4 linked regions of the Tamandua tetradactyla genome follow. The protein of the gene in region 1 purifies or fractionates together with the protein of each later gene. This does not show direct contact. Links are inferred from orthologs where the notes say so. Each region holds a gene or a part of one and is shown in the gene's direction. Other genes may lie near its edges.

Region 1 (7,941 bases):
TGGAGACAGTTTTGATTGTCACACCTGGGTGGGTTGGGGGGCGGTTTGTCCTACCTGCATCTAGTGGGTGGAGGCCAGGGATTCTACCAAACATCTACAATGCCCACCACCCCCACCCCTTGCCTCTACAGCAAAGAATTATCTGGCCCAGAAAGCCGAGGCTAAGAAACCCTGGTCCAAAGTGAGCTCCCCTTTGCCAGAGGAAGTTGCCAATGGCCATGCAATGCACACTCCAGATCCGGGGACAGCTTGCTGCTTTCCTGACTGCGGAGTGAGTCATTTTGTGAAGCTCAGGAACATTTAGCAAGGCGGTATTGGTCAAATTAGCAAATCATCCTAATTTGTCCGTTGGGTAAGTAGAGCTGGAAGGGTGTTTGGGGCCTTCACAAAGAGAGACTCGCCCAACGCCAACGAAGACTCATGAGGACCGAAGATGGTTCAAGAGATTTCGAAAGAACCCATCTAAATGTCCCTCCTCCGAGAAGGATTCTGGGAACATCTGAACTCCTGGCCCAAAGAATTCAATTTCCCTCATCCCTAAAAACGCGACTCCTCAGTTTGATGAAAGGAGGTGTGAAGTCAGATAAATCCGAGCCCTGTCCTTCCCTAGCTGGGGTTACAAATAATCTCCTCTTTCCCAGCCTAACTCCTAAAATGGGGTGAGGATGAGCGTCAAGATTCTGCAGGAAAAGCCGTGAGCACAGAAACTGTCACATAGCAAGCACTCAGTAAATGTCAACTATCGCCGTCAGCATTGTCACCATTATTTTTACCAAGTCCCCAAGCACGTGGGAAGGTAAATTCTCACAATGACCTTCTGAGATGGGTGATGTCATTCTCACTTTGCAGATGAGGAAACTGAGGCTCAGAGTGATAAAGCCGCACCTGTCAGCGGCCTTCTCCCTGGTCTCAGGGCTCCCACTCCTGCCCACCTACAGTCCATTCTCCCCTCAGCAACTGAAGAGATCTTTAGAAAATGAAATCAGATCTTATTTAGGTGAAGATGCTTTCAGAGTTCTGATGCTACCTGATATGTCATGATCTAACCTTTCTTTATGATTTCGGTATCATGGAAAAAAAGAGTAATGTTATGGTTATATAAGATGAAACACTAGGAGAAACTGAGTCAAGGGTATTAGGGACCTCTCTGTATCATCTTTGTGATGTTTCTGTAAATAAAAAATTATTCCAAAATATAAAGCGTCTTTAAAAATATAAAATCAGATCATGTTACTCCTTGACCCAAAATCCTGCAGTGACTTCCCATTAGGCTTAGAATAAAATTTGAATGACTTTCCGTGGCCTATAAAGCCATGAACCAGCTGGCCACCTCTCCGACCTCACCTCCTAATACTCTCTTCCTCACTCTACACTCCAGCTGCTCTGGTCTTCTTTCCATTCCTCCAACACGGGAAACTTATTCCTGCCCCAGGACCTTTGCATTCGCGGTTCCCTCTGCTGGGGATGCTCTTCCCCGTTGCAGGTCTCCCCATGACTTCCTCCTTCTCATCCTTCAGGTCTTATTCAAATGTCACCCCCTCAGAGTCCCTCTCCCTATGTGGTCACATGAGCCCTTCTAATTTCCTCATAGCAATTTACCACTCTCAGAAATTATCTTCTTTGATTGAGTTATCTGTTCCTTTCCATCTTTTCCACCAGATTGGAAGTTCAACGAGGCAAGGACTGTCTGGTTTGCTTACTACTGTGTCCCCAGCTTCTCGCAGAAGGCCTGGAGCCTTGTAAAGCCTCAATAAACATTTTCCAAAAGAATAAGTGACTTCTGGTAATTTCACAGGACATTGAAATAAAGCTGCAGGCTTTACCAGAAAGCTTCCATTCACTGCAGCCCCCACACATGCTTGTCTGCCTTGTGCCATATTTTGGAAGGATTTGAATTCACAACCATCTTTTACAAATTGAAACATTTCACATAAAAATCCATATATCCAAGATCCTTTGGAAAAAAAAAAATCAGAGAATCTGGCCATACTGGGCTCATTATGTTCCCCATGGACTGGAGCTGGGAAATGGACACCCCCTAGCTGGGGAGTGGGCTCTGCAATTCATAAAAGTCACTACTCAGCCAACGTAATTCTTTCGCGCTGTCGGCCTGGTCCCCGTAGGCTTCGGATCCCCCTCAAACTCTAAAGGGTCCTGAGAGATACTACTGGTTTTCAAATATTTTAGACATAGCCCCTCTTTCCAAATCTCAATGGAAGCTCAATGTATTAGATAAAAGTAAGGATAATTAATATTGATTGCATACTTACTGTGGGTTATGCCTCTACTTTGCTGGACTCAAGGGGTTGGAAACAGAACCCGTTAGCTCCCACCCTCCTCAGTAGCTCTCTAAGAAAGTTCTGTAGATCCAAGGAAGGCAGTACAAAAAGAAGTAACATTTAACCCACTCTCCTCATTTTACAGATTGGCAAACTGAGGCCTAGAGGAGGAAGGCACCCTTCAGTAAATGGCAACACCCTTTCAGGTGAAATGAATGTGTCTGCCTCGTCCTTAGGGAGACCACCAGCATTGATTATTGCAGAAACAGGCCAATAAGGAATCGGTTCTTTCCTCTGTGAGCGGTTTGCCGATTCCCAGGATCTGTTCACACTTAGCCGTGTGAGCTCGCTCTCAGGCTCTGAGTCGGCTAATTCCTTTAGGCATGTGCCAGCGAAACTGGACTCTGGAGGGGAGTTGCCCAAACTTACAGTGGCATGTGGACAGAGGCACAGCCTATGTCCCAGCCCAGACCCAAGTCCTCCTCCAGAACTGATGATGTCAGTGGAGGTTAACACACCTTCCATTTTGCAGCTGGAAAATTACGGCACTCTTACTGTGGGAAGATACATGCGTGGGTTGCTCCATTGGGTTCTGCGTTTATGAAGTGTTTGGTGTGCGCCAGGATTGTGTCAGGGGCTGGGAATTCACAATGGGGATTTATTGAATATGAACGCTTTTGCTCTCAGGCTCTCCTGAGGTTCCAGCCTCTGACTTACTAGCTGTGTGACCTTCAGCAAGTGACCTAGTCTCTCTGTGCCTCAGTTCAGCTGTAAAATGGGGATGGGTAGGGATAGTACACAACACGTAGGATTGTCTTGGGGATTCAATGAGATAATGTTTTGGCACAAATGAAGAAAGTGAGTGCAGTGTTTGTTTTTTTTCTGCCGCACTTATCAGAAGCTGATATTTTTATTTGAGTCTTTGTTGATTTACTGTCTGGCTGGCTTACTAGCTGACTGTCCACGAGAGAAGGAGCTTGTCTGTTTTGCTTCCCGGCCTAGAACTATGCTTGGCCAGAGTACATGTTCTGTAAATATCTGTTTGCTGAATGAATCGCAGTCTTTCATATTCCTGCTGTAATTGCCTTGGCAATGACATGCCCTGCCCACCGCGGAGCTCAAGGTCTCGTGGACTCCTGTGTGAGCCATCACAGCAGTGCTGGGCACCCGTCAGAATGTCACCGACTGGGCTCGGTGCCCTGGGCTTACAAATGACACTTGTGTGGCTTTTGGTGGCCAGAGCCTCAGCACGGGGGAGTGAGCTGGCGACTCGGGAGAGTGGAGTTAGCGGTTGTGCAGAGCCGGCTGGACACCAGCTCCTCCACTCCAGCGGCGACAGGGGCGCAAGCCAGGACGCAGGGGGCCTGCCTGGGCCCCTTGGAGGGCGCTGCTTCCGAAGATGAATGCCCGCAGCGTAATCACCTTGCTAGTATTTAGGGATGGGGATTCGGGCACCCTGCATGCCTCGAGAAACAAACTGAATTTCTCTGTGGGAGCAAAGGGCCTTGCAAACTTACTGTAGGGCGCAGCAGGAGAAGAACGGATTACTGGGAAAGATCAGAAAAGAGAGCACCTCCAAACCCAGCTAAAGGCGATGCGCAACCCTCGGAAGCCGCACACTTTCTGCCCCGCCCTGAAGAGGGATGCCCGCTGGGGAGGCTGGGAAGCCCGAGGAAATGGACCAAAGTTTCCCGGGGTGTCCGCAGAATTCGAGACCTCCCCCCGCACTACCAGCCTCTGCCAACTCGTTCTTCCGGCCAAAAACTCAGAAATCTACACATTCTCCCTTTATCTTCTGCAAACTTGGCTCTGATTAGATTGAGGGTTACCGTTCCGATGATACTATAACTTCCCGAGTTTCAAAAAGATTATCTAAAGATAGAGAGGATGGATATTTTCTTTGGAGGATGACTTTTTTTTTTTCTGAATTGCACGGCCAGGTACCGGGAATCGAACCCTGGTCTCCAGCATGGCAGGCGAGAACTCTGCCACTGAGCCACCACCCTGTGAGCCACCGTCCCAGGATGACTTTTTAAGCTTTTTTCTTTTTTAATGTAAAAACTCACAGAAGTGACACACAAAATATACAGATACGCACATTTCCATACCTTAGAATAAACAACAATATTTTGACTTATCTGGGAAAGGGTTTTTAAAGCAACCAGACAAACCTCTCCTTTCTCCTCTCAATCCCAGAAAATTTGAATGCAAAAGAAGTCTACCTACTTCTCTTTAATAATCTCCCTTTCCACTCCCAAACCAGATTTATTTTAAAGGGCAAATTCCAGGAGCCCTTGAAATGCCTAGTCGGTCTTCCACATGCCAGGTCTGAAAACATCTGGCCTCAAAGAACTTGATCCGACGAAGGCCGAAGTCGCTAGGGCGCATATCTGGACCGTCCCCTCCAGCCCCAATTCCCGCGTGCAACTTTACAACTCCCGCTCCGGCCAGAAGGGCCTATTTGCTCGGCCCGCTTGGCGGAAGGATCCCGTGCGCTCGCAAGTTACGCTCAACCGTCTCCTGCCCCTACCCGCGCTCTGGCTCCGCCCCCTTTCCAGCGTCCGGACTCCGCCCCCTTCGGCGCGCCCTATGGCCCGTAAAGAAGTCCCGGCCGGGCCGCTGCACTCCCCCGCTCGCATCCGTGCGCCGCCCGAGGCTGGCTAAGCAGTCATCGGCCATTTTGTTCTTCTCGTGGTTCCAGCGGGGAGAGAAGGAGGAAGCAGGGAGCGGGGCGGCTGGGGGGGGACCCGCCGCGGCTGCTGCCACCGCCGCCACCACCGTCTGTGTGCTCGTGGCGTGGGAAAGGAGGTGTGGGTCCCGAGCGCGAGCCGGCGGTGGCGCCGCTGCGGGAGGGTCGGCGGCGGGAAGGCGATGGCGGATATAGATAAACTCAACATCGACAGCATCATCCAACGGCTGCTGGAAGGTGAGGGGGGCGGCGGGCGGGCTGAGGGGAGCTGGGCCCAGGGGCGGCAGGCGGCCCCGGGGCTCGCGGGAGGGGAGTTGGGAAGCCGGTTGGGCTTGCGGCGGTGAGGGGAGCGAGCCCGCAAGTTGGCCCGCGGGGCCAGGGGCTGCCGCCGGCCGGAGGGAGGCCGGGCCGGGTCCCGAACCTGACCCAGCCCGCGGCCTCTCCCGGCCCGGCTCATTCGTTACACGAGGCTGCAGCCTTCCTCCTGCCTGTAAAATTTGAAAATTCCGCCGCCTACCCCCACGTTTCCCACCCATACTCTCTCCTCCCCCATCCCCCCCTCTCCCCCCGGCAAACTGGACGACGGGTCTTGGGAGAGGAGATTGGGGGGGCTCGGTTCAACCTGCAGGACGGCGTGTACCGTGCTTTATTCTGGCCAGGATCGAGTTTCTGGTACTTTTTCTCAAAAAGCAATTTATTAGGGGAGTTGGTTTCATCGGGTTTGGGGGCTTTATTCATATCTTGCTTTCTTTTTTGTGTGTGTGGACTGGGGTCGGGGTTCCATTTCTTCATACTTGGTAGTGAACGCTCATTATCTGAAGGGGACGTAAGAATTCATCTCTCCCTAACCCCCAGATAACCTTTTAAGTTATCCTTCCTTATCTTCGATAGGGCTCCGCGCCCTTTTTCATGAGCGTGCTTGTGAACTTGAAATCAGCGATGACTGTGTCATTATCTTTCCAGTGTACCAGGGTCTGGGTCCAGCGCTTTGCGTTCTTCAGATTCTAACAATAATAATAGCCAACACTTCTAAGGACTTCACTATGTGTCTGGCATCCCTTTACAGATTTAATTTCATTCTCATAACCTTATGGGGTAGGTGCTATTATTTTTCCCGTTGTACATACGAAACTTAAGACACAGAGAGGTGAAGTCATTTGTCCAAGGTCACACAGGTAGTGACAGGTTTCAAAGCCAGGAGCCAGAACTCTCTACATTTCAACTCTCATCCTATAGATGACCCAATGTGTAAAGGAAAATGGAAGTGTCCCATGGTTAAGAAAAGGTTAAGTTAAAGCTTTCGTGTTGGCGGACCTAAGACTTGTGAGGTGCCTGGCAATTGATTCTTATTGATATGGAAAGCGGTGAGCTTCAGATTTTAAAGAGGGAGGCCACATAGAACTACGTGGGTATTCCAGAGCATATCTCCTAATACAAACATCTTTCCCAGACTTTGGAAGAGTTCAAGTAATTCTCATTCTTGATTTAGGCACTAAATCGTGTAGATTTGTCTGAGTTTTAACTGCTTTTTGCCTTTATGCTGTCCTAAAATATTGTTGGAATTTAAATGTGTGATAGAGGAGAGTATGAACAGTTGGGCACCTCTGGTGTTAGAATTTGCAGAACTTTTGAAGTAAATCATTAAAATGAAACTCCTAAAAAACTCTTCCTTTTCTTAAATCAGTGCCTTTTTTTTTCTTTTGCAGTACTTTCTAGCTTTCTTAAAAGAACAACCCACAGAATATGTATAAGAAACCCTGAAGTGCTGTTAATGACACTGCCATTTGCAGGTGAAATCCTTGTCATTCAGTTCCTGGGATTTATTATAAGAAACACAGGCTATAAAAAATATTCAAATGCTTTCCGTACTAGTCAGTACAGTTCTTTGATTTCTGTGTAGCAGTACTCTGTTAGAAACTGATTAAAACTTTTGCAGTGGGAAAGAAACTTTTATTAAATATTTTCATTTAAAATCTTAAATTAACTATACTTCTGTACAGGAATATATATATGTATTTAGGTCTCAACTGAAGTTCTGGTTTTGCCCATAATTGTCTCTGTAGTCACATAACAGGCTTTGTTAATTTAATCTTGTTGCCTTGATGAGCTTGGCTCATGTAAAATGAGATCAATCACTGTTTCTTAATAATCCCTCTTAATGCGTTATGCTGTACTTGAAAACCAGATTTTGAAATTTTCATTTTTCACTACAAATAATAGAATAAAGCAGTGCATTTTAATTCCTTGGGAATACTGTAGCTGCACAACATAGTTAAATTCTTGTCTCATGGATGTTAGATTGGCAGGGAAACAGTTGAAGAGGATTCCTTGAGGATAAGTATCCATCAAAGTTGAGAGATTCAATAAAGTTATTGAATTTTGTAATGCCCCAAAAGCCTTTTTCAAGCCTAAAAAATTTAATTAGATTAAATAAATCTGAAAATGGAGAGAAAAGGAGTTTTGTGACATTGTTAGACATTTTTTATGTGTTCAGAGTGTCTGATCTTTATGGTCAAGGACTGTACAAGCTATCAGTGTAAGTCCTTGGTTAGCACTGAAAAGACAACTCAAACTTAAGTCCAGTTTAAGAAAAACAGAATGCTGGTTTAGACCTTACTCACTAGCTTCGCAGTTCTTTTTCTACTATAAATGTTTAGTTTTTCCTTAAGCTGAAGTATCACTTCTGTGTCCCACCTCAGAAATTTTATCCAAGGAAGCTCTGCCTTCCTGTTGATAGATAAATTATTCAAGTTATTTCCTAGTATGACTGAGGTTCACTTATATAAATACTACACAATAAAACTTGGGGGATTTAGAGAGAAAAGAAATCAGTATTCGGATATTGTACATTGGAGAAAGGTCAGTTTTGAGGGCAGACTTATTTTGTAAGCGACCCCATTCAAGGGTCAGTGATGGCTAGCGCTTTTCTTGCACAGCAAGTGGTTGTAACTTACTTCACATTGTAGTTTGCAA
Region 2 (7,275 bases), about 78 Mb from region 1:
AAGAATCACCCCCAAGAGAACCTCTTCCATTGCTCAGATGTGGCCTCTCTCGGTCGACACAACAAGCAAACTCACTGCCCTCCCCATCTCTACGTGGGACATGACAACCAGGGGTGTGGACCTTCCTGGCAACATGGGACAGAAATCCTAGAATGAGTTGGAACTCAGCATCAAGGGATTGAGAAAATCTTCTCAACCAAAAGGAAGAAGAGCTAAATGAGACAAAATAAAGTATCAGTGGCTGAGAGATTCCAAATGAGTCGAGAGGTTATCCTGGAGGTTATTCTTATGCATTAAATAGATATCACCTTGTTAGTCAAGATGTAATGGAGAGGCTGGAGGGAACTGCCTGAAAATGTGGAGCTATGCTCTAGTGGCCACGTTTCTTGAAGATAATTGCATGATGATATGGCTGTCGCAGTGTGATTGTGTGGTTATGAGAGCCTTGCGTCTGATGCTCCTTTTGTCTACCTTATTGATGGACAATTAAAACATATGGATTAAAAATAAATAAATAATAGGGGGAACAAATGTTAAAATAAATTTAGCAGATTGAAATGCTGGTGATCAGTGAAGGGGAGAGATAAGGGGTAGGGTATGCATTAATTTTTTTGTTTTATTTTTATTTCTTTTTCTGAATTGATACAGATGTTCTAAGAAATGATCATGATGATGATTATACAACTATGTGATGACAGTGTGAGTTACTGATTATATAACAAGAACTGAATGATCATATAAGAATGTTTGTGTCTGTATGTGGTTATGTATCATAAATAAAAAACAAGTTTAAAAAATTTAAAAAAAAAGAAAGTAAAAAGACGACCCATGGAATGGGAGAAAATATTTGTAAATCTGGTAAGAGACTTGTATACAGAATTTATAAAGAATTCTTACAACTCAACAATAAAAAAACAAATAATCAAATTAAAAAAAAAAATGAGGGGGAAAAAGAGGAAGCCTTTTGGAAAGAGAGACAGAGTCTTGAGAGAGCCACAAGGTCAAGAGCCCAGGTAGCCAGAGACCTCTGGAGATATAGGAAAACACCCCTAGGGGAGCTTCATGAAACAAGAAGCCTGGAGAGAAAGCTAGCAGACATCACCATTTTTGCCATGTGACTTTCCAGTTGAAAGGGAAACCCTGAACTTCATTGGCCTTTCTTGAGTGAAGGCAACCTCTTTTTGGCACCTTAATTTGGACATTCTTATAGATTTGCTTTAATTTGGACATTTCCACAGCCTTAGAATTGTAAACTAACAACTTATTAAACTCCCCCTTTTAAAAGCCATTCTGTTTCTGGTAATTGCATTTCAGCACCTAGCAAACTAAACAACCTGTATTACAAAGGTTAAGTGATTATCATATCTTGTATTCCATTGCTTGAAAATTTGTCACAATTTCTTTTCTTTCTTATTATTTAAATTTCTGCATATTACTCTCAATTTTGCCTACTAACCTACAAAACATAAAATATTTACCATCTGGGGTGGGTCACGGTGGCTCAGCAGGCAAGAATGCTTGCCTGCCATGCCAGAGGACCCGGTTCAATTCCCGGTGCCTGCCCATGTAAAAAAAAATTAAATTAAAAATAAAAAAAATTTTAAAAAAATATTTACCATCTGGCCCTTTCTGAAGTTCGCTTTTCTGTACCCGCAGTAACATGCTGCAAGTGGTAACACCAGGAATTAAACCCAAGCAATCTGTCTGCAGGGTCTGTGCTAAAAAGGCACATTCACTTCCTTACCCATGACCCCATCTGTGACCCCAGTATTTCATCCCCAAACAAGTGACTTACGTGCCTGTAGAATCTACTGTCACAGCCCGGACCCCACCACGGTGACAAAGAATCTTAGCCAGTGGTTCCTTCATGGCTGGACTCCATAAGGACACAGTACCTGAAAGTCACAGGAGCACAGCTAAAGTTACAGGTGAGGCGCTGAGGTTATTAAATCTAGGAAAAGTGGATACTCAAACCAAGAAGTACAAGACAAAAAGGTAAAAGTACAAGTTAAGGGACTTGTCAAGTATAAATACAGAAGAAAAACAAGTGAGAATAGCCAGAGTCAAAGCTAAGCCACGGACTGACCATTGCTGTGTCCAAGATGAATGATGGCATTGTAAGGGTTCTGAGTCATGATGTCAAGCCGTCCAGCCCGAGCATTTAAAGCTGCCACTATCTTCCCCACTGACACATCCAGGTAGGTCAGAAACCCTGTTTCTGACTGTAAAAGAGAGAAAGAATAACTGGTCCTGATTGCGCTCTGTCTTCCCCCAACCCCAGTCCCAAATGGGGCAGGATCCTGTCAAGGGCTGCCAACCCGGTTCTTATGCTCCAGCCACTCACAGCTGTGGCCAGTAGGAAGTGGAAGGGCAGGAACTCAAGCCGTGTGACGCGGTCACAGCGGCGGATGCAGTGGAGCTCGATGCCCTGGTTATCATAGATGTGAAGCCAGCGGTTCTGAGCAACAGCAAGCAGTGCCTCCGAGTGCAAAAATCTGATAGGTGATTCAGTGGGAAAACAGATCACAGACTGTCATTAAAAAAGGAATGGGGCTCTGGCACTGAGGGATTGACAATGCCTTCTGGACTAAAAGAGGAAAAAGAAATTTAACAAAATAAGGCATCAATGGCTAAGAGAGTTCAAATGGAGTCAAGAGGCTATTCTGGAGGCTACGCTTATGTAAGCCTCAGTGAGATAGTGCTCATTGTCATGGTCTGCCATACCCCAACAAACATCATTCCTATTAACCCTAAAGAACACTTAGGACTAGAGGGTTCGTAGGCCAGATAAGTCCTGAAACCCAGAGGGGTCAGCCTTCCAGAATGTCAACTAGTTCCATCCCCCTCCCATATTATCAACAGCCCCTTCCCACATGAAAAAGTTAGAATGGGCATAGCCCAAATACCCCTAAACATTGGGAGAAAGATCAAGGGAGAGAAAGAGTTATAACAGAAAAGATAGGCTTTAACAATGAGTACGATTGCTGAGTCACTATAATGATATTTATTTTAGCTTCCAGTGTTTTAAAGCAGCTAGAAGGAAAAACCTGAAAATGGGGAATTGCAACCTATACCAAACTTTGAAATCTGTTCTTCAAAGTTAAAACGTGCTTTGAAAATTATGGCTTTTTTTATAATTATTGTATATTTTACAGTAAAAAATGTTTTAAAAAACTTTTTAGAGGGATGGGGTGTCTCAGTCCCCATAAGCACTTATAGGAGGTCACTAACCGGATGTCCCGCACAGCCTCCATGACATTGATCTCACACATGAGCTTCTTTGTCACCCAGTCAAGGGCAGCCACATGACCCCGACGACCTCCGAAAGCCAAGTGTCTATTAGAAATGGGGAACAGGCAGGGTGTCAGTGTAGGAAAACACTGTGACTCAGACAATTCGAGGTCTGCCCCCAGGCCAGCTCTTCCTCTCCAAGTGAGAGGACAGATGTTGTTCAAGAGGGTCCACTCATATCTAGGCAAATCACAGGATCCTCCCTTCATCAACAACCCCAACATACACTGGATTGTTTGCTGAGGTGGGCACAACTGCAGTTTAGCAGACACTACCACATCTCAGTTCAAGAGTCCCTGGAATTCAACATTACCTCCCAGTTCGAGAGTAGTTCAGCCTATAGGGTCCAAACTGCCGCAGATTCAAGTCAAAGTGCTGCAAAGAGGAAGAGTTAAAAAATAAAATAAAATAAAATAAAAAGTCAACAGAGAACTAGCTCATTTCATCAACTCCCTCTTCTATTTCTCATATCCCTCTTGCTCTGAACAACCAATCAGTTTTGTGGCCCCTGCCCCAGGCTCAGGCTAACCTTGGCTGCACTGGCAATGTCCACAGCCTCCACAATGTCAGCCTGACGTATCTTGGCCGTGTCTTCTCCATCTTCCCCTTCCAGAAACCTGCAAAAAGGGTTATTGCAAAAAAAATCTTCTTAAGATGAAGCGGACATACCCACATAGAAATGAGAAAGAGGAGCCCCATAAAGCAAGGGCTGGGAATGCCCAGATCAGGGTCTACTCACCCAGGCTCCTCAGCAAGCAGCAGCTCAGAACGAGCAGCTCTGACACTTGCTTCCTCTTCTTCAGCTTCAGCGACCTCAAGTCTGTTTCGGGTTTTGGATTTAGCATGTAGTAACTATATCATTGGGAGAGCAAGGGTTGGGGGCAAAAAAATAGTGGACATGTGGAGGGGGTCACAGGAGAATCACCTGGCCCCACCTCCATCCAACCTCCCTGTCTCCAACCCCTCCCCACTCCCCGGCTAAGTCTCACCTTTTTGGATCTGTCAATACGACGGAACTTCTGGGTCGCTTCCACAGGGACGGGAGAAGGGCCTGGGAATGGGTCCTGGGCCTGGAGTAAAAAGGAGGAGACTAGCTAACAAGCTCGAGTTGACCTCAACCTTCGCACTCTCAAGGCACAAGATGCCTTGCCCTGCCACCCTATCAGGCCTCAGTCTCACCCCAGACAAGCTCCGTTCAGGCTCCGGATTCCTCCGAACCCGAGGCTTCTTGGTGACCCGAGACTTCTTTAGAATATGAGTCTTCTTTGGCTTCTGGGGGCGGAGATCCCTCTTTCTCTTCTTGCGACGAGGGGGCCCTGGAGAAACTCCGGCAGTAGTCGAAGCCACGTCTTCTCCCTCCCAGTATCGCCGAGGTTTCTGCCGGCAGATCAGAGGCCCTAAGGCTCCGCTGCCCGCTTCCCCGACCCGCCCCCTCCATCCCCTCCATCACCCCGCAATTAAACACTTTCCTTCCCGCCCCAAGGGGGTCTCTACCTTCTTCTGGACCTGAATTTTGTTCTTGTTGGGCGGAACATCCCCACCCGGCTTGGGGGCCGTCTCCATCAAGACCACAATGTTGATGACCCACGTGCAAACTCGGTTCAGCCGTCCCACTGTAGGCTTAGAAACTCCCGGAAGTCCTCTGGCCTTCACCCAATCAGGGCCGCGTCAGGTCTGAGGCCCTCTCGGCGCCATGTTGAAAGAGGGCGCCCTTTCTCCTGATGGGCGGGGCAGGCCTTGGCACCGCCTTCCAGAACAGCGGCTTTTGCCAGAGTAATGATGCCCTTGCGAAAGAAAAAGAGCCAAATCCAGGGCCAGAGCCGAAGTAACGGTGTAGTTTGGTTTCCAGGCTTTGTTTTCCCATCTTTTCCAAATCCTTCCGAGTGCGGACTTTTTAGGAGTGCGCTAGCGTTAAACGTGTCAGGACTACATTTCCCGGCTTGAATCAGAAGGCCACTTCCGGCACGCTCTTGACGCGGGTTGCCACAATTACTTCCGGGTTTAGTAATACTGAAGGGAGAACGTGAGTAGGGCAGGGCTTGGGCTGAGGGGTTTGGGGCTCTCATCTCTCCATAGCCCCTGCCCCGGGGCCTGGGTAGAACCGATATCCCAACCGGGAGAAACTGCGGTTTCCCGGCGGGCTGTCTCTCAAAAGTGCTGTAGTTTCCTCCGACCAGGCCAGCAAGGGGAGCTCGGGTGCCTTTCGGCGTGTGAAACCTAGTGCCCCTCTCCTGCTCCCCTCAGGTCTTCGACCCAGCTATGGCTGAGCTGATCCAAAAGAAACTACAGGGAGAAGTGGAGAAATATCAACAGCTACAGAAGGGTAAGGGAGCAGGGTTGGTGTGGCCCCGCCCCAATCCCTTCACTCACCCACAACCCAAAGCCATAATGAAGGTAAAGTCTTCTGTCCCACCGGGCCCCGCGTGCAGCCTCTTCCCTACCTCATTACTATCCTCCACCCGCTGACCCACGGCTCCCATCCTTGTCTACTTCGTCTGTTCTCTTCTGATTTTGGTTGTGGGGGGCGGGTAACACATTTGATGTCTCTAATCACATCTTTCCTCCCACCCCACCCCTCAGACTTGAGTAAGTCCATGTCAGGGCGACAGAAACTTGAGGCACAGCTGACAGAAAATAATATCGTGAAGGAGGTGAGGGCTTGGGATTTTGTGGGGTGAGGAGGGACCTGTTCTGACGGTGGTTCTGATGGTATATGTCCACTCCTTCAGGAACTGGCCCTGCTGGATGGATCCAACGTGGTCTTTAAACTTCTTGGTCCTGTGTTGGTCAAACAAGAGCTCGGGGAGGCCCAAGCCACAGTAGGGAAGAGGCTGGACTATATTACCGCTGAAATGTGAGTCTTTGCTTCACTTCCCTGTAATGTAACCAGTACCATTAGAGTAGAGTTGTTTTGGAAACACTGTAGAGCAGCTTTCCATAGAGGTGCCCAGTTGTCCAATTTTCTCATCCCGCTCCTCCCCTAGTTCTCAGCTTTTCCACCAATCTCTTTCTTGCCTTCAGCACCATCGCTACTAAGTCCCACTAATTTCTCATTTTCTGATCTTAGTTTCCTTTGTCTCCCTCAGTAAACGATATGAATCCCAACTCCGAGACCTTGAGCGGCAGTCAGAGCAACAGAGGGAGACGCTTGCTCAGCTGCAGCAGGAGTTCCAGCGGGCCCAGGCAGCAAAGGCAGGGGCTCCTGAGAAGGCCTGACCTCTTGGTGGGGGGGAGGGGAGGGGAGGGAGTGAGGCAGCTCTAGGATCTATACTGTAACTAATAAAATGTGAAAATACTGGCTCTGTTTTCTGACAATCTACTTCTGTCATGATTCTCTCCATCCGTTTTTCCACCCCTTCCACCTTGTACAACACCTGCAGTACTCCTGTAGGTCCAGATTCTAGAGTCTGTGTGGCAGGGTATCCTTTTGTCATTAAAGTCAGGAATGTCTTAAGCAAACGTGCATTTTGTCTGTATATACAACCCTGAACTCTCCCTTATCTTGGTTGACACAACTGTTTTGAAAACATAGGAATGGCATTTGTAATGCAGCTATTGTTGGGAATACCAATTTAGTTGAAGAAGTCGTGGTTATCTTAATCTGAGACCCCAAGGTGAACTGCAGTTACCCTCCTTCTAGTGAACCCTTGTCATCCTCTAAATTGCCCTGGCATCTCTTTTAGATCTTTTCAACCTCTGTGTTCCCAGAATTTACTGGAATGTAGTTTGAGCTAATTTAAAATTCCAGCACAAAATGCCTTACAGTATTATAATTCCTCTAAGCTGTGCAATGTCCACAATTTTTTTTTTTTTTTTACAAATTATAGCTAAGGGAGTTCCTGATACTGAGTGCTTTAATTTGATGACTACTACTTGACCTGGGTCTGATACCTGAGGAAGAAAACTTTAAAAGCAATAAAGGGAATGGGAATGGAGATGTTGCTGGAGAGGAATAAACCATTCTGAGGAATCCATTTAACCAAC
Region 3 (7,985 bases), on another chromosome or scaffold:
CTACATGGCACACACTGGCTTTGAAAGTGCCCTCAATCTGCTCAGTCGTCTCAGCAGCCTCAAGTTCAGCCTCCCTGTAGACCTGGCAGTGCGCCAGCTCAAGAACATCAAAGATGCCTTTTGATGAAAATGTCCTGGCCCAAGACCAGTGCCTCACTCAGCAGGAGTAGATATGTTAGTCTTCTAGGATGGGAGCAAAGAATGGGAGGAGGGGTTAAAGAAATGTTTCCTAGATCCTGCTTTAGGTGGCCAAACAAATGACTGCAAAGTCTGTTTTTCCCACCAATTTAGCATCTCACAAAGATGTGCTAGAGGCTCACTTGTTAAAAGATTCTGCCCTGGTATATGACCACAGTATACAAGTGGGTGCATATGTTTGAGCCTATGTAAAAGAAATCAGTCATAGCACCCAGCTAATCCACCAATCTGTCATGCCCTGTGTAGTTTTTGGAAAACTCACATTGCTCTAACCATTCTGTTAATGCCAGTGAGTGACAACATGAGTGAGTTGTTGGTCCTGGAAAACATTCAGCTTGAGGCTCCTGTTCGTCAAGTTGGGAACCATTTTTCCTTCACCCAAAGCAGGTTTGAGAGTACTAGGGCCAGAGTTTAAATTCATTTAATAAATATTGGCCCTTCCTTACTGATCCCAGTATGGGGGTAGGCTATGTCTTTTCCATTGCTGCCTCTAAAACTAGGGATGAGAATATTTCTGAGGGAGTTAAGCATAAGTTAGTTTTAATATGTACCCTTTTTCTGGTAGTGATAAAAAATCTGTTTATGACAAAGTAGTCCTCTTCTCACAGCACAGACTGTGGTCTTTTTGTTGTGTTGAAGCTGAGTTGTTTTAAGAGGAATGAGAACCAATGTCTGCTAATATGTCCTCTGGCAAGTAAGCTTTTCTCTATGTATCTTCCAGCAAGACTGACACAGTCTTTTCAGAAGTAAAGTATTTGAGATCTCCTTCTTGAGAGAATCCTTGCCACCCAGTTGAATGTATACAGGAATCGATATTAATAACCAGCAGCAATTCCTCTCTGGGTTGTGACTCACACAGGCCACTTGTCCTGGAAGCTAGATGATGGATTGCTTCTCTCCCTCAGATAATGGCACAGGGTTTATTCACAAGTCAAGTTGGGCTGGCTTCCAGTCCATTCCCACAGTGGGAATAGGTACTAAGCAGATTGTTGTTTACAGGCAGGGCTGATAATTCCACAGTAAACTGACTCTAAGGTAGTCCTATTTGTTCTTCAGTATTTTAGCCTTTGTAGTTCCTACTTGTCCACATGTTTGTGATAGGTACTACTCCAGAACTGTCAAAAAACGGGAAAATAATGTGTTAATTTCTAGAAACCAAATAGGCTCCAAACACTACTGATTCAGCATTGTTTTCATGTATTAAATTGCCAGCTCCACTTTCTGTCTGCACTATTGTGTAGTGCATTTTAACTTAATTTTTTTTTTCAGCAACATGTTACTTATTTAAGAGGCATTATTGATATTTGGTTAGAATGAGTTCACCTTCTGTGCAAAACAAAGGAAATGTAAAATGTGAAAGAAAGTGTATCCGTGGTTACTAATAAAATCAGTATTTTCTGTAACTTCTCTGCAAAGACCCTAGAGACCCTCTGCTTTGGTTAAGGCTACTTTGCTATCATTCCACCTGATTCCTTGAGAGCTGTCTGGCTCCTGGCCTTTCTGCTCTTCTGCCCTCTACCCTGAATCAGCTCAGCTTTGGTTTTCCATTTTTCTTTAATATTTTCTCACTAAAAACTGCCCTTGGCATTATCACCCCCTCTCACCCAGGCCTACAGTCCCATCCCCACACCACATCTCACCACAATTAATATTTTGGGAACTGGCCCTTCTCTGTTTGTCTGTAAATAATTTAGAGTGGATGATAACTGATAAAGACATATGACATAGCTTAGGACCATCTCAGTGTTGTCTTTTTTAATCCTCACAAAAAAAGTAACTTGTATTAACTTGTATAATAAAAATCTGCTGGCCTCACAAGATGCATTTGTGTGTGTGTTTCTTAATTTAATCTTCACTACTTGTAAGGCATTATCCTTATTTTACAGCTGAAGAAAGTGAAGCACAGAGAGGTTAAATATTTTATCCTGGTTTACATGGTAGAAAAGCTGGAACCTAAGTTGTCTGGCTCCAAAGCCTATCACATGGTCTCATTGTATTGTGTTGCTTCTAGATCTCTTGTTCCCTTTTATCCCTCTCCCGTTCCCTCACTCCACCATTAGTTTTTGGAGGAGAAGGTGTTCTCCACATACTTGCTGGAAATTTCAGATGCCAGAGGACTAGGTTGCAGGGAGATAGATAGACAGTCATTGCCTTGTCTAGTTCTCCATGAAACCTATGTGTAGACTCAGGCAATCCAGCTGACATCACAGTCACAGATATCTGCTGGTCACTGATATCATCAGTGTCAGGGCTGAGGACGGGGCTCTATCCTTGGCTTGGAGTGAGGCAGATGGGACAAGGGAGGAGAGGAAGGACAGTCAGCCCAGATCTGTAAGGCTAAGCAGGAACGGAATGAAAAAGACCCAGCATATGTATTCAGTGAAAGTGCTGGGTCTTTGGGAAAACAAAGCAAATGTATTCGTTGTAGAACAAATTTGATCTGCAAAGCCAGACTGCATTCATTCAGTCTACACTTACTGAGTGTCCTCTCAACAGCTTGGGCCAGACTAGGTACTGAGGATGGAGATAATTCAAACATACTTCTTGCCCTCAAGGAACAAGAAATTTTGGAAAGGAGACACCAAAAAAAGTTGGAAGTTTGGGTGGCTTTTTAAAACTCAGATGGCTGGATTCCATTCCCAGAGTTTCTGATTGAGCGGTCTTGGATAGGGCCTGAGAATTTGCATTTCTTACAAGTTTCCAGGTGATGCTGATGCTGTTTGTCTAGGAACCATACTTTGAGAACCACTGATCAAAACAAAATGAATATATGTTCTATAATAAAGGTAAGTGTAGACTGCAGAGAAAGCACTGAGGAGAGAGATTAATTCTGCCTTGGAGAGTTCAGGAATGGCTTTGAAGGATGGGTAGAATTTGGACAGGATTACAAAGTCACATGGACCAGGCTGAATAAAGACCCCAGGGCTCAAAAGAGATTTAGCTGGTTGGAGCCCAGGGGTTGTCTTAAGGGTTTAAGAGGAGTCATAGGAACTTATACTGAAGGATAGATAGGTGGGAGTGAGAATTCAAACTTTGGAAGCAAGAAAGCCATTAAAGGATTTTAACAGATAAGTGGTGGACTTAAAGATGTGTTTAAAGCAGTTTCTCAAAAGATCATCATATAGCTCCACTTCCAGACCTGAAGTCAGAATCTCTTGTCATGGAGATGCACCTTCAACAAACATTCCAGGCAATTTTGATCCACACTAAAATGTAGGAAGGTATTGGAGAAGAGAAACAATGAGGCCAGGAGGTTAGTTAGGGAGAAGGTGGGAAGGGATAGAGAAGGGTAGATTTAAAAGTCACAGGGCAAAATTCACAGAATTTGACTTGGAAGGTGGTTTGTGGAAAGGGTCCAAAGTGATTACAAGGTATCAGGGTTTGGTTCCTATTTCCGAAGGGAAAAAGCAAAAAGAGAGGAGAAAAAAAAACAAAGTACAAAAGGGGCAAAAGCAGATAAGGAGGCTAAGAGAAGACCAAAAACATGGAAATGGACAGGGTACTGTGGTGTAGTGGGAAGAGCACCAGCACAAGAGTGGGGAGACCTTGCTCTGTGACACAAACTGACTTTGTTTTTCTAGAGTTGTCCTCATCTTTCATGATCTCCGAGGTCCCTTCCAACTTCAAAATTTCATATTCCAAATTAAAGCAGAAAATATTTTAATTGGATATAAAAATACAACTACATAATTAGAGTTATAAACCATTGGAATGGGATCCTGAGGGCTGCTGGCAATTTTGGTCCCTGGAGAGCCTCAAGAACAGAAGTGATGAAACCCTTTATCCTGACTGTTTCGACATCTTGCCCCAAAACCAATTCGGTAGGTTCCTCAATGTTCAGAAGAGTAAAACCTTAGGAAGGGTTCTCCTTGTCTTGAATTCCAGCCAGTGAACGGTACCATCTAAAAATGCTCTTCCATTGAGTGATGGGAAATAATAGTTTGAGAGCCAACTAAACCTGGTTTCTAGACCTAGATGTGAATCCCATCTACACCACTCATCAGGTTCAATCCCAGAGAAGTAATTTATCCTTTCGGAATCTCAGTTTCCTTATCTTCAAATGGGAGGAAAATACCCGAGATGCAGAGCTGTGAGGATTAAATGGGCTGTCAACTTAAATAAAACGCCTAGCCCGCTGCCTGGCAGAATAAGTACCCAATATGGTGACATGATAAAAAGCATGGACTCAGGAAATGGAATGCTTTAACTGAGTCCCAGATCTACTGCTTACTAGCTATGGTTACTTAATTTCCCGAAACCTCAATTTCTTCAATGTAGAATGGAAATAATAACCTATCTCCTAGTGTTGTTATGAGGCTCAGACGAGATAATGTAGGTGAATAGAATAACTCTGCCTACCTAGCATGGAGTCAGCAGGTCTTCACCTCCCTCACTAATTCTCTTAGCTAATTAATGTTATGACATCACTAGACGTAAAATCATTCAATTGATCTTTGTCTCTCCCTCCTTATGCCTAAGAGTCCACACAGTAGGCATCGATAAACGTCCCATTTTGTTCTCTGCATCTTCTAAGGCAAAACAGTCGAGTGGAGACGTGTCTCCCTCCTAGCGCGAGAGAAGGGAACTACAACAGAGGGCAACCGAGCTGCTGAGTTACAATATCGCGCGCGCACACGCCTTGCTTGCTCTTCTATCAGTACGCCAGCCATACAAAACTTACGTCGTTGTCTATTGCCGGAGCAGCTAATAAAGTTTGATTCAGGCCTTGCTACCTCCTCTTGAACTTCCGTCCGCAAGGCGGAGTCTGAACGCTGTACAAGTACCGCCGAGAGACCTAAGGGGCGGTACCGGATGTGAGGTCACACGGCCTCCGGGTGAAAGGTCGGCGGAAATAGGGTTCTTTTCTTTCTGCCATAGGCCGTAGTGGTTGCTGTTGGTGAGTGGAGTACTGGGTAGGGGCTTCCAATCTGCCGCCATCCACGACTTGGGGGTTGGATTGCCGGGCGACGCCGTCTGTGTTCTGTTCCGCGGCCTCCGGCGGCTTTGTAGTGAATCCAATACAGCGAGGAGGGCCCGCGGGCGGCCGCAGGAGCAGCCTGAGCTTGAGCACAGTAGTCGTCTCAGACGGATTTGGCCCACTGCGTTTCATAACCATCCCTTCCCCTTATTCTCCGCAGAAATGGGCAAGTTTATGAAGCCCGGGAAGGTGGTGCTGGTGCTGGCCGGACGCTACTCCGGACGCAAAGCCGTCATCGTGAAGGTACCAGCCTTGCGGGCCTCTACGCCCGCACATCTCGGGAACCGGTCAGGATTCCGAGAGCGAGCAGGCTTGGGACTTAAGCCCTAGTTCTGGGGCTAGGAACATTACGATGAGGGGATTGAGTGCAGGGGAAGTTTTGTGGGAGGAAGATGCAAATGAAAACAAATGTGGGAGTTGTACTCCTAACATAATGCAACCTCCACCAACGAGACTTTGAATAAATAATAGTGACCATCTTTTACTGAACTCTTGCAAGGTGCCTAACACTGCGTTACAGGTGCTGTCTTACTCAGTCCTTACAGCAACAATAAGGGCTTCTTTCTATTGCTGCTGAGATTTAGAGATATTGGGTATTTTGCTTAGGTCAAACCGATCCTTAGTGCTGCAGTTGGGATTCTGTAAAAAAAAGTAGAGTTTGCTTTTAGTCAAAATGATCATTTAGCTTCATCGTTTGCCTTTACCCACATTTTGTAGGCTTTTGCCACATATCCCTAGACTCTGGCCACAGCTATTTGTTATTGTTGGGACACCTAGGCAGCCCTGTTGCCCCTACTCCATCTTCCTGAGACTGATCTTCCTGGGGATAAAGAGGTACAGGGTAGGATAGTAGTGCCAGTCCTGACGGTACCCTTTAAAGCAGTATGTCCATGAAGAAGGTTAATGGATTTTGCTTGGCATGTTACAAGTACTCTATAAATCTCTTACATCCCAAAAGCCTTTCCATGTCTCTTACTGATAGGAATGAATACCTCTCCCCTCACTTCATTCAATTTAGCATAGCACTCAATATGGTCTGCTTTGTATAATTTTCTCCCCTTACATAGTGGAGACCCAGGGATAGAGGTGTTCTTTTTACATAGGCCCTCAATTAATACCAAATGTAATTCTTCCTCATTTAGAACATTGATGATGGCACCTCGGACCGCCCCTACAGCCATGCTCTAGTGGCTGGAATTGACCGTTACCCCCGCAAAGTGACAGCTGCTATGGGCAAGAAGAAAATCGCCAAGAGGTCAAAGATCAAGTCTTTTGTGAAAGTTTATAACTACAATCACCTCATGCCTACAAGGTGAGCATTTCAGAATGGGAATAAAAATGACTGATTTCTTTTCTTCCTTTCTGCCCTGCTAAATCTGGAGACACCCTTGCACTCTTGGTGGGGGGAAAGACTTGTCACTCTTTACCTTATAAAATAGCCATAGTTCTCAGTCTTTTTTTTTTTTTTAATTGTGCTATATAACAAAATTTCCTTTTTAACCACTTTTTAAGTGTACATGTTAGTGGTGTTGATTATGTTCACAATGTTATGCTATTGTCACCACCATCACCGAGACTCTTTCATGACTCCAGTCTTACCTCTTTCATGGCACCTTGTAACTGTATTTCCCATGAATCCCTAGTTAGTCTATGAAGACTCCTGACTTGGCCTGGAAGGATTGAAAAAATCTCAAGCTTGCTCTTTCGTATCTCTTTCTTACTCCCCCACTCACCTGTAAATGCTTTTGATGTTAGTTAAAAATTGCTTCATTTATTTACATCTGCAGTAACTAAACACAGGCATAGGGTCTGGTCTGCCTTCTTCCCTGTTCCACCCTCATAAGTTTTCAAAACTGGTTGGTGAATGAGTGAAAGAAAGCCTCTTGGATTAGTTTCACTCAATTGTGGGCTTTTTAATTGCTGACCCTTCACAGTATTATAGTGTGCAGCACTTAGACTATCTTGGTATAAAGATTATAAAGAAGTATAAGATCTTGGGAGAGTCCTGGTCGGTAAGGGTCAAAACCTAGCAGCACATGCCTTAAAGTTTGCTATCGGCTGCATGTTAATTCTGCACTTGACTTGCTGATCTAAAATGATAATGCATTTTAGCAGGTGCTAGCCGCCTGGCTTTTGCATTTTCACAGTGAAATTCTGGGTGGCTTTGCACACGTAGAATTTGAACAACACTAAGGAAAATGGCCCCAAATAGAAATAATTGCTATGGTGAAAGCAAAGAGGTCTAATAAAGTGAGGGTTCTTAGCTTAGAAAATTGAGAGGGAAAGCAAAGATTTTCTGTGGCTTGAATCCATGTAAAAGAGTCCATTAAATTTTGAGTTTCCAAAGAATGTCGTCAGGATTTTGGCACAGCTTTTGGTGATTGTTCCTGTGGAGTGCAACCCTGAAACTCCAATATACGAGGAGGACTTAGAAGCAGTCTGAAGGTCCTGGCAGCATGTGGACTGATCCTACCTCCCTGCCATTTATCTTTTGGCCATCCATTCAGGTACTCTGTGGATATCCCCTTGGACAAAACCGTCGTCAACAAGGACGTCTTCAGAGATCCTGCTCTTAAACGCAAGGCCCGGCGCGAGGCCAAGGTCAAGTTCGAGGAGAGGTAAGTAGGCTTTGGTGATGAATGTTGAGGTATGGTTTCACTGTTCCCTATGAAGGGAATTCCATCTCCCTGTTCCTTTCCTCATTGTTGTCCTTTTTTTCCTTCTAGATACAAGACGGGCAAAAATAAGTGGTTCTTCCAGAAGCTGCGGTTTTAGATATTTTTTGTTTCAATCATTAAAAATGATTTAA
Region 4 (7,996 bases), on another chromosome or scaffold:
CGATGTCCTCACCTCTGTCTTTGCCTCAGTGTTTTCAGCTGTGCAATGAGGGGGTTGGACAGGAAGACCTCTAGGGAACCTCTGGCTCTGATGGGCAGCACTTTCCATCAGCCTGCCTCCTCTGGCACGTTCTCCCAGATCCCACAGCCCTTACTGATTTCCTTTCTGGCACACAAAAACACTTCTTTCCCGAGCTGGTACTTCGTGTCTGGCTGCACATAGTTTTCCAGCTCCCGTGGGTCCAGGTCTGCTGCGTGGGCTTTAGGCCCAACTCAAGGGCTCAAGGAACACTGGCCAAACCGAATAGAAAATGATTTCTGCCTTCTTCCCATCTTGTGGATGGATGACAGGGGATTTTTTTATTCACCCCCATTTTGTAAATTGGAAACTGAAGATATCAGAGGTTAAAAAAATAAGCCACAGGAGTTCCGGGCCAAGATGGCGGCTTAGCAATGTGCGCGTTTTAGTTCGTCCTCCAGAACAACTACTAAATAACTAGAAACAGTGCAGAACAGCTCCTGGGGCCACATCAGTGACCAGACACACAGCATACCCCAGTCTGGACCAGCTGGACCGGCTGCGAGCCCCCCCAGAACCGTGAGTTCCCCAAGCCGTGGTGGCCGGCACCCCTCCCTCACAGGCTGCTTCCCAGAGGGAAAAGGAAAGAGACTTTACCAGCAGCAGGGGCTGAGCCCAACCAAACACGAATTGTGGCATTAATTAATAAATTCTGACTACTAATAATAGGCCCACAGCTCAGGTGAACCTGGTCAAAGCAGAGGTCGCTCATTTTTGCCCTGGTGCCAAGGGGGCAGGGCTGACCGAAAAAGAAAAAAAAAAAAGGAAACAGAGGTTTTTGTGGCTGTGTATCTACAAAAGCTTGACTGCCTTTGGATATAGCAGCAGGACTTCTCAGGCTGCAACTGCCCCAGCCATAGGCAGAAGTGAGCTCTTTTGGGGGCTTGTCTGGAGCCTGTGCCTTCCCCAGGGGAGGGGTGAAGCCCAACTCAGGTGGAATCCCTCCCTCAAGGAATTCAGACACCAGGGCTTGGTAATTTGAAGCCATTAAAACCAGACTCCAACCTCTCCTCTGTCTCCACCACGTCCCCAGCCAAAGTTAAAGGTACTGCATCATCTAATGGTGGTGGGACCTGCAGGCAGACAAGCATCACATACTGGGCAGGATAAGAAAAACAGAGCCCAGAGACTTCACAGAAAAGTCTTTCAACCTGCTGGGTCTCATCCTCAGGGAAAACCGATGCAGGTGACTCTTTCCTCCTGATAGGAGGCCAGTTTGGTCTGGGAAAATCCACTTGGGGTCTATAATACCTACAAAAACCCTCCTGGGGTAGGGGGGGAGGCACCATACAAGCAGGGCAAGAAACAAGAAAACAAGAACTGAAAAATTCTCCTCTTTTAAACAAAACCTAAGCTAGAGGTCCAGAAAAAGCTGAATTGAATGTCAAAGAACAGAGAGACAACAAATTCATCCAGCAAGAAAACCCTAGGTAAAAGAAGTGAAAGCAATCTCCAGAATAAACTAATTAAGGTAATTAAATGCTTAGATGCCAGCAAAAAATAACAAATCACACTAGGAAAATTGAAGATATGGCCCAGTCAAAGGAACAAACCAACAATTCAAAGGACATACAGGAGCTGACACAATTAATTCAGAATATACGAACAGACATGGAAAACCTCATCAAAAACCAAATCAATGAATTGAGGGAGGATATAAAGAAGGCAAGGAATGAACAAAAAGAAGAAATCAAAAGTCTGAAAAAACAAATCACAGAGCTTATGGGAATGAAAGGCACAGTAGAAGAGATGGAAAAAAAACAATGGAAACCTACAATGGTAGATTTCAAGAGGCAGAACATAGGATTAGTGAACTGGAGGATGGAACATCTGAAATCCGACAAGAAAAAGTAAATATAGGTAAAAAATGGAAAAATATGAGCAGGGACTCAGGGAATTGAAGGGCAATATGAAGCACACAAATATACGTGTTGTGGGTATCCCAGAAGGAGAAAAGAAGGGAAAAGGAGGAGAAAAACTAATGGAGGAAATTATCACTGAAAATTTCCCAACTCTTATGAAAGACTTAAAATTACAGATCCAAGAAGTGCAGCGTACCCCAAAGAGAATAGATCCAAATAGATGTACTCCAAGACACTTACAAATCAGAATGTCAGAGGTCAAAGAGAAAGAGAGAATCTTGAAAGCAGCAAGAGAAAAGCAATCCATCACATACAAGGGAAGCCCAATAAGACTATGCACAGATCTCTCAACAGAAACCATGGAGGTGAGAAGACAGTGGGATGATATATTTTAATTATTAAAAGAGAAAAACTGCCAACCAAGAATTCTATATTCAGAAAAATTGTCCTTCAAAAATGAGGGAGAAATTAAAACATTCTCAGACAAAAAGTCACTGAGAGAATTTGTGACCAAGAGACCAGCTCTGCAAGAAATACTAAAGGGAGCACTAGAGACAGATACGAAGACAGAAGAGAGAGGTGTGGAGAAGAGTGTGGTAAGAAAGACTATGAGTAAAGGTAAAAAGAAGGAAGATTAGATAGGACATATAAATCCAGAAGGCAAAATAGTAGAAGAAAGTACTACCTGTGCAGTAATAACACTAAATGTTAATGGATTAAACTCCCCAATCAAAAGACATAGACTGGCAGAACGGATTAAAAAACAGGACCCATCTATATGCTGTCTCTACTCAAAGGACACGAGGCCAAGGACACAAACAGACATTTACACACCAATGTTTATAGCAGCATTATTAACAATTACCAAGAGATGGAAACAGCCAAAATGTCCATCAACAGACAGGTGGCTAAACAAACTGTGGTATATACATACGATGGAATATTATGCAGCTGTAAGACAGAATAAAGTTATGAAGTATGTAACAACATGGATGCACCTTAAGGACATAATGCTGAGTGTGATTAGCCAGAAACAAAAGGACAAATACTGTATGGTCTCACTGATATGATCTGACATGATGAATAAACTTGGAGAATTTAATTGGTAACAGAGACCATCAGGAGATAGAAATAGGGTAAGATATTGGGTAATTGGAGCTGAAGGGATACAGATTGTGCAACAGGACTGAATGTAAAAACTCAGAAATGGACAGCACAATACTACCTAACTGTAATACAATTATGTTAAAACACTGAATGAAGCTGTATGTGAGAATGATAGAGAGAGGAGGGCTGGGAGCATAAATGAAATCACAAAGAAAGATAGATGATAAAGATTGAGATGGTATAATCTAGGAATGCCTAGAGTGTATAATGATAGTGACTAAATGTACAAATACTAAAAAATGTTTTTGCATGAGGAAGAACAAAGGAATGTCATTACTGCAGTGTGCTGAAAATAGATGGTAATTAATATTTTAAAATTTCAACTTATGTGTGAGACTAAAGCAAAAAATGTTTATTTGGTACAAAATTTATATTTTGACTAGTGCATTTCCTAATATAACTTATGTAGATAGCTTGGTTGAACAACATAAGTACATGGAACCTTGGGTAGGACATGAGATTTTGTTGGTTTGTCTATAGTGATGCCCTGATGAATCCCAGAGTGATTTGATCAGTGAGCGGGAAAGTATTTGCAAAGTCCCCTTTGGGGAATGGTGAGAACAGGGGAAAATTCAATCTCCTCAAGTTGAATTCTTGATATTCTCACAAGCAGTGTGGACAACCAAAGCTATCAGCTGAGCCCCCAGTCTTGGGGTTTGTTCATATGAAACTTAACCCCACAAAGGATAGGTCAAGCCTACTTAAAATTAGGCTTAAGAGTCACCCCCAAGAGAACCTCTTTTGTTGCTCAGATGTGGCCTCTCTCTCCAGCCAACACAACAAGCAAACTCACCACCCTCCCCCTGTCTACATGGGACATGACTCCCAGGGGTGTGGACCTTCCTGGCAACGTGAGACAGAAATCCTGGAATGAGCTGAGACTCAGCATCAAGGGATTGAGAAAAACCCTAGAATGAGCTGAGACCCAGCATCGAGGGATTGGTAAAACCCTCTCCACCAAAAGGGGGAAGAATGAAATGAGACAAAGTGTCAATGGCTGAGAGATTCCAAACAGAACAGAGAAGTTATCCTGGAGGTTGTTCTTCTGCATTAAGTAGATATCACCTTGTTATCCAAGAGGAAATGGAGAGGCTGGCGGGAACCACCTGAAAATGTAGAGCTGTGTTCCAGTAGCCATGTTTCTTGATGATGATTGTATAATGATATAGCTTTCCCAATGTGACTGTGTGATTGTGAAAACCTTGTGTCTGATATCTACCTTGTCGACAGATGAGTAGAACATATGGAATAAAAATAAATAATAAGGGGAACAAATGTTAAAATAAATTTGGTTTGAAATGCTAGTGATCAATGAAAGGGAGGGGTAAGGGGTATGGTATGTATAATTTTTTTTGTTTTTATTTTTCTGTTGTCTTTTTATTTCTTTTTCTGAATTGATGCAAATGTTCTAAGAAATGATCATGATGATGAATATGCAACTATGTGATGATATTGTTAATTACTGATTATATATGTAGAATGGAATGATCACACACACAAAAAAGCCACAATGCCACTCGGGGTTCCTTGGTGTTGCTCAAACAGGAGAAGAATGATTCACGTTTCTCTGAAGCCCTTATCATTGCCTGCCGTAGCATATAATTTTTGTCGGCGGCGTTTCCAAGGAGGATGAAGTTCCATGAGGGAAAGGGCTTCGTTTTGTTCACTGCTCACCCAGAATACCAGTATCTGCCACTAAAGGACGCACTTAAGAAATATCTGAAAAGAGAGAAACGGGGTCAACACCCAGCTGCGAAAGGCACTCAAGGAGCCTACGAGGCGAGCTCCAGCCCCGCCCCCACGTGATGCCCCGCCCCGCACTAGCAAGCGGGCCTACGCGCTGACGCGCGTGCGCAGAAGCGAGCCTGCGCAGGAGCCTGCGCACCGGCGACCCTCCTTTCATTGCGCCTGCGCGCTGGAAGGCCTGTCTGAGGGATCCTTAGGCCGCACATTCCGAACGGAGCCAGAAGGAGTTCACAGCTGCGTTGCTGCGGACCTGGAGATGGCGGGCGCCGTGCTGTCACCGGAGGCGGAGCGGGTGTTGCAGTACCTGGTCGAGGTGGAGGAGCTCGCCGAGGAAGTGATGGCGGACAAGCGGCAGGTGGGAGGCCCGTCCGTGGCGTTGGGACCTGGGGGAGATAATTGGGGCCTGGCGGCGAGCGCCGTATACAGAGCCGTGTGGGGCCGGCATCTAGCTCTACCACGGGTTCGCTGTGAGTTGACCTGGACTGGTGATCTAGGGTGCCCCACACCAGTCAAGGCCTTAAGGAGAGACGAGGAACAGAAGAGAGGCTTGAGTGGCCTTCTGACAAAGGGCCCTGTGGACCTGCTTAGGGAGTTCGTAAGCGGTGGGGGTAGGTCGCAACTGGATTTAGGTTTTAAAAGGAGCCCTCTGGCTGCAGTGAATATAGAATATATGGAATATAGAGGGGCAAAGGTGGAGGCAGGAAGAAGCGAGGGACCATTGCTATGGTCCAGGCAGAGGTGGGTTTGGACCAGAGTGCTGGTGATGGAGAGAAGTGAAAGGGTGGGAAATATAAATTGGAGATGGACTCAGTAGGACAGGATGGTGTTTACATATAGAGGTGAGTGAATGGGAGGCAGGGCCAAAATGACATGAGTCTCTCTCATCTCCCTTTAGAATGATTGGATGGTTGGCCATTATTTACTGAGAAGAGGAAGACTTGGGGAAGAGCCTGATAAATTAAATACTGTATCACCATGTGGATGATAATAGCAGAAGTTAAAGTTTATTAAGGGCCTACTATATATCAGGCACTGTACTAACTAACTCATTTAGTTCCTGGTTCAGTAACCTGTGAGGTTGGTACTTTCACATCTCCGTTTTTCAGAGAAGGAAACAGCACTGGTAGGGAACAGCAGGATTCAAATCCAGGTATTCTGGCTCCAGAGCCAGTGGTCACAAGCAGCCTTCTGTACTGCCTCCTCGCTTCTGTAGCAGCTCTTATGCTGTTACCGTCTCAGTGCCTCCACCCCTGTTGTCCAAGTCTGGCATTGTTGGATTTTTGCATGTTAGGTCAGAGTCAGCTATTAGAGCTTGTTCAAAAGTAGATTCTTGGACCTGCTTCATCCTAGTGTCTAGGAGACAGGTTTGTGCATGAGCATTTTAAACATGTTCCCCTAGTGATTCTGACATACAGTTTGAGAGCTGATGTTCCAGTGGATGGTACAAATTATCCATTTAGTCAGCAGACATTTCCCAGCAACTTCTCAGGGGAAGATATGTGCTTACAGTATTGTCTTTAAGAACCGGGAAGCTGAGTGGGAGAAGAAACATGTTCACACATCAGTATCACACAGGTTGTTGAAAGAAACCAAGGAATGACGTCTTACCATCTCTCTAGCCCCTGGTCTGTTGGGACGTGACAGGGTTGGAACAAGAGGTGGCTAAGTAGCCCCTTGCCCCTGCTTTTTAGATTGTGGACCTGGATACTAAAAGGAATCAGAACCGCGAAGCCCTGAGGGCCCTGCAGAAGGATCTTAGCGTCTCTGGTAAGTTGCAGTTTCCTCATTGTGGTCCTGGAGGTCAGTTCGGTTTTCCTTGTAAGGTCCTTGCCTTATCCATGATAGAGACCAGGCAGGAGGCCACAGACATATGATTCTTCAGCTTTATGGGGAATTAATACAGGCCGTGAGGATAGGGGAGAAAATGTTACAGGGTCTGACACAGACTGGAGCTCGGGATTTCAGCTGCTTTTCTTAGTGACAAGCTGTTGGCTCCTGACTCAGTGATGGCAGACACTCCCAGAAGTGCTGGGAACGTATTAAAATGATGTGGTTCCTGCCTTTGTGCACTAACACGTGAGTAAAACCACATAAAATACACAATAGACAATTGTGAGAAAGTAAAGAAAGGAATTGGACATGGGTTAGATGTTGAGAAAATCCGCAAGGGATTGAGGGTTAAAGAGATTGGGTTAGAGTGGCTGTGGTAGAATAAGCAAGGGGAAAGGGACATGAGATGAGAGACTAGACAGATGGGCGGAGGCCAGCTGTAACGAAGGGTGTTGGGGCCAAGGGAAGAAGTTTGAGTTTTGTTTAAAGTGCAGCAGAAAGTATAAAACCTTCTAGTTGTGCCTCATAAAAGTAAAGTCTAGAGTCCTGCAAGGCCTCACATAGTCCAGCCCCCAAGATCTAACATCATCTCTACACTCCCCCTCACTCATTGACTCCAACCATACTAGACTCCCTGCTGTTCCTGTTCCCTTTGCAGGTTCACTCTTCCCCCGTATGTGTGCAGGGCTCACACCCTCACTTCCTTTGGGTCTCTGGCCAGATATCACATAATCAGTGAGGCCTTCTCAGACCACACAGTATAAGTATCAAGTCCCTTCTCTACTCTGGCATTTCCTATACCTCTTACCCCGCTTCATTTTTTTCTACAGCACTTATAAGAGCCTTTTCTTTTTCCTTCACTATGACATAAGCTATTTGAGGACAAGAATGTTGTCAGGTTCTCCTGTTTTTAGCATGTAAAAAACATGGCAGGTAGTAGGTGCTCAAAAAATACTTGTTGAAGAAATGACCATTTGCCATTTCAGAAGATGTGATGGTTTGCTTCGGGAGTATGTTTATCAAGATGTCTCACCCTCAGACGAAAGAAATGATTGAGAAAGGTAAGATGTCCTGGGGATGGGTCAGGAACATAGCTGCCCTCCTGTCAGTCTTGGTTGTAGCCCAGAATTGAAGAGTCAGGCTCTGGGCAGCTTAATGGGAGGCAGCTGTGTTACAGGTTCAGCCTGATATAGGTTGCCTTTTTAAAAAACTTTTTAAACTTTTCATTTTGAAAAACTTTCAAACTTACAGGAAAATTACAAAATTAACATAAACCCCATACAGAGTACATCATACCACCACCCTCTTAGATT

The links.
Region 2: the proteins of PPP1CC (region 1) and PFDN6 purify together in Homo sapiens (affinity purification with mass spectrometry; 4 studies listed by BioGRID and IntAct, with this or other methods). This does not show direct contact. The link is inferred for Tamandua tetradactyla from reciprocal best matches to the Homo sapiens genes PPP1CC and PFDN6.
Region 3: the proteins of PPP1CC (region 1) and RPL27 purify together in Homo sapiens (affinity purification with mass spectrometry; 3 studies listed by BioGRID and IntAct, with this or other methods). This does not show direct contact. The link is inferred for Tamandua tetradactyla from reciprocal best matches to the Homo sapiens genes PPP1CC and RPL27.
Region 4: the proteins of PPP1CC (region 1) and PDRG1 purify together in Homo sapiens (affinity purification with mass spectrometry; 6 studies listed by BioGRID and IntAct, counting the BioPlex papers as one, with this or other methods). This does not show direct contact. The link is inferred for Tamandua tetradactyla from reciprocal best matches to the Homo sapiens genes PPP1CC and PDRG1.

What each region holds. Positions count from the first base shown.
Region 1 is NC_135331.1:11,472,296-11,480,236, reverse strand, and holds the start of PPP1CC (serine/threonine-protein phosphatase PP1-gamma catalytic subunit), read left to right. Parts: upstream 1-4,935; 5' UTR 4,936-5,150; coding exon 5,151-5,205; intron 5,206-6,724; exon of another isoform or gene 6,725-6,739; coding exon of another isoform or gene 6,740-6,758; intron 6,759-7,941. UniProt on the Homo sapiens protein: Protein phosphatase that associates with over 200 regulatory proteins to form highly specific holoenzymes which dephosphorylate hundreds of biological targets.
Region 2 is NC_135331.1:89,218,733-89,226,007, forward strand, and holds PFDN6 (prefoldin subunit 6), read left to right. Parts: upstream 1-4,997; 5' UTR 4,998-5,314; intron 5,315-5,535; 5' UTR 5,536-5,550; coding exon 5,551-5,614; intron 5,615-5,871; coding exon 5,872-5,942; intron 5,943-6,020; coding exon 6,021-6,145; intron 6,146-6,377; coding exon 6,378-6,507; 3' UTR 6,508-6,760; downstream 6,761-7,275. Other genes in the region: WDR46 (WD repeat-containing protein 46), read right to left, coding at 1,796-1,895, 2,087-2,222, 2,345-2,495, 3,232-3,336, 3,605-3,666, 3,821-3,908, 4,031-4,143, 4,281-4,361 and 2 more. UniProt on the Homo sapiens protein: Binds specifically to cytosolic chaperonin (c-CPN) and transfers target proteins to it. Binds to nascent polypeptide chain and promotes folding in an environment in which there are many competing pathways for nonnative proteins.
Region 3 is NC_135332.1:24,233,454-24,241,438, reverse strand, and holds the start of RPL27 (large ribosomal subunit protein eL27), read left to right. Parts: upstream 1-4,972; 5' UTR 4,973-5,095; intron 5,096-5,336; 5' UTR 5,337-5,338; coding exon 5,339-5,419; intron 5,420-6,318; coding exon 6,319-6,488; intron 6,489-7,683; coding exon 7,684-7,794; intron 7,795-7,902; coding exon 7,903-7,951; 3' UTR 7,952-7,985. Other genes in the region: RUNDC1 (RUN domain-containing protein 1), read left to right, coding at 1-124.
Region 4 is NC_135327.1:21,175,912-21,183,907, forward strand, and holds the start of PDRG1 (p53 and DNA damage-regulated protein 1), read left to right. Parts: upstream 1-4,982; 5' UTR 4,983-5,109; coding exon 5,110-5,208; intron 5,209-6,544; coding exon 6,545-6,620; intron 6,621-7,669; coding exon 7,670-7,744; intron 7,745-7,996. UniProt on the Homo sapiens protein: May play a role in chaperone-mediated protein folding.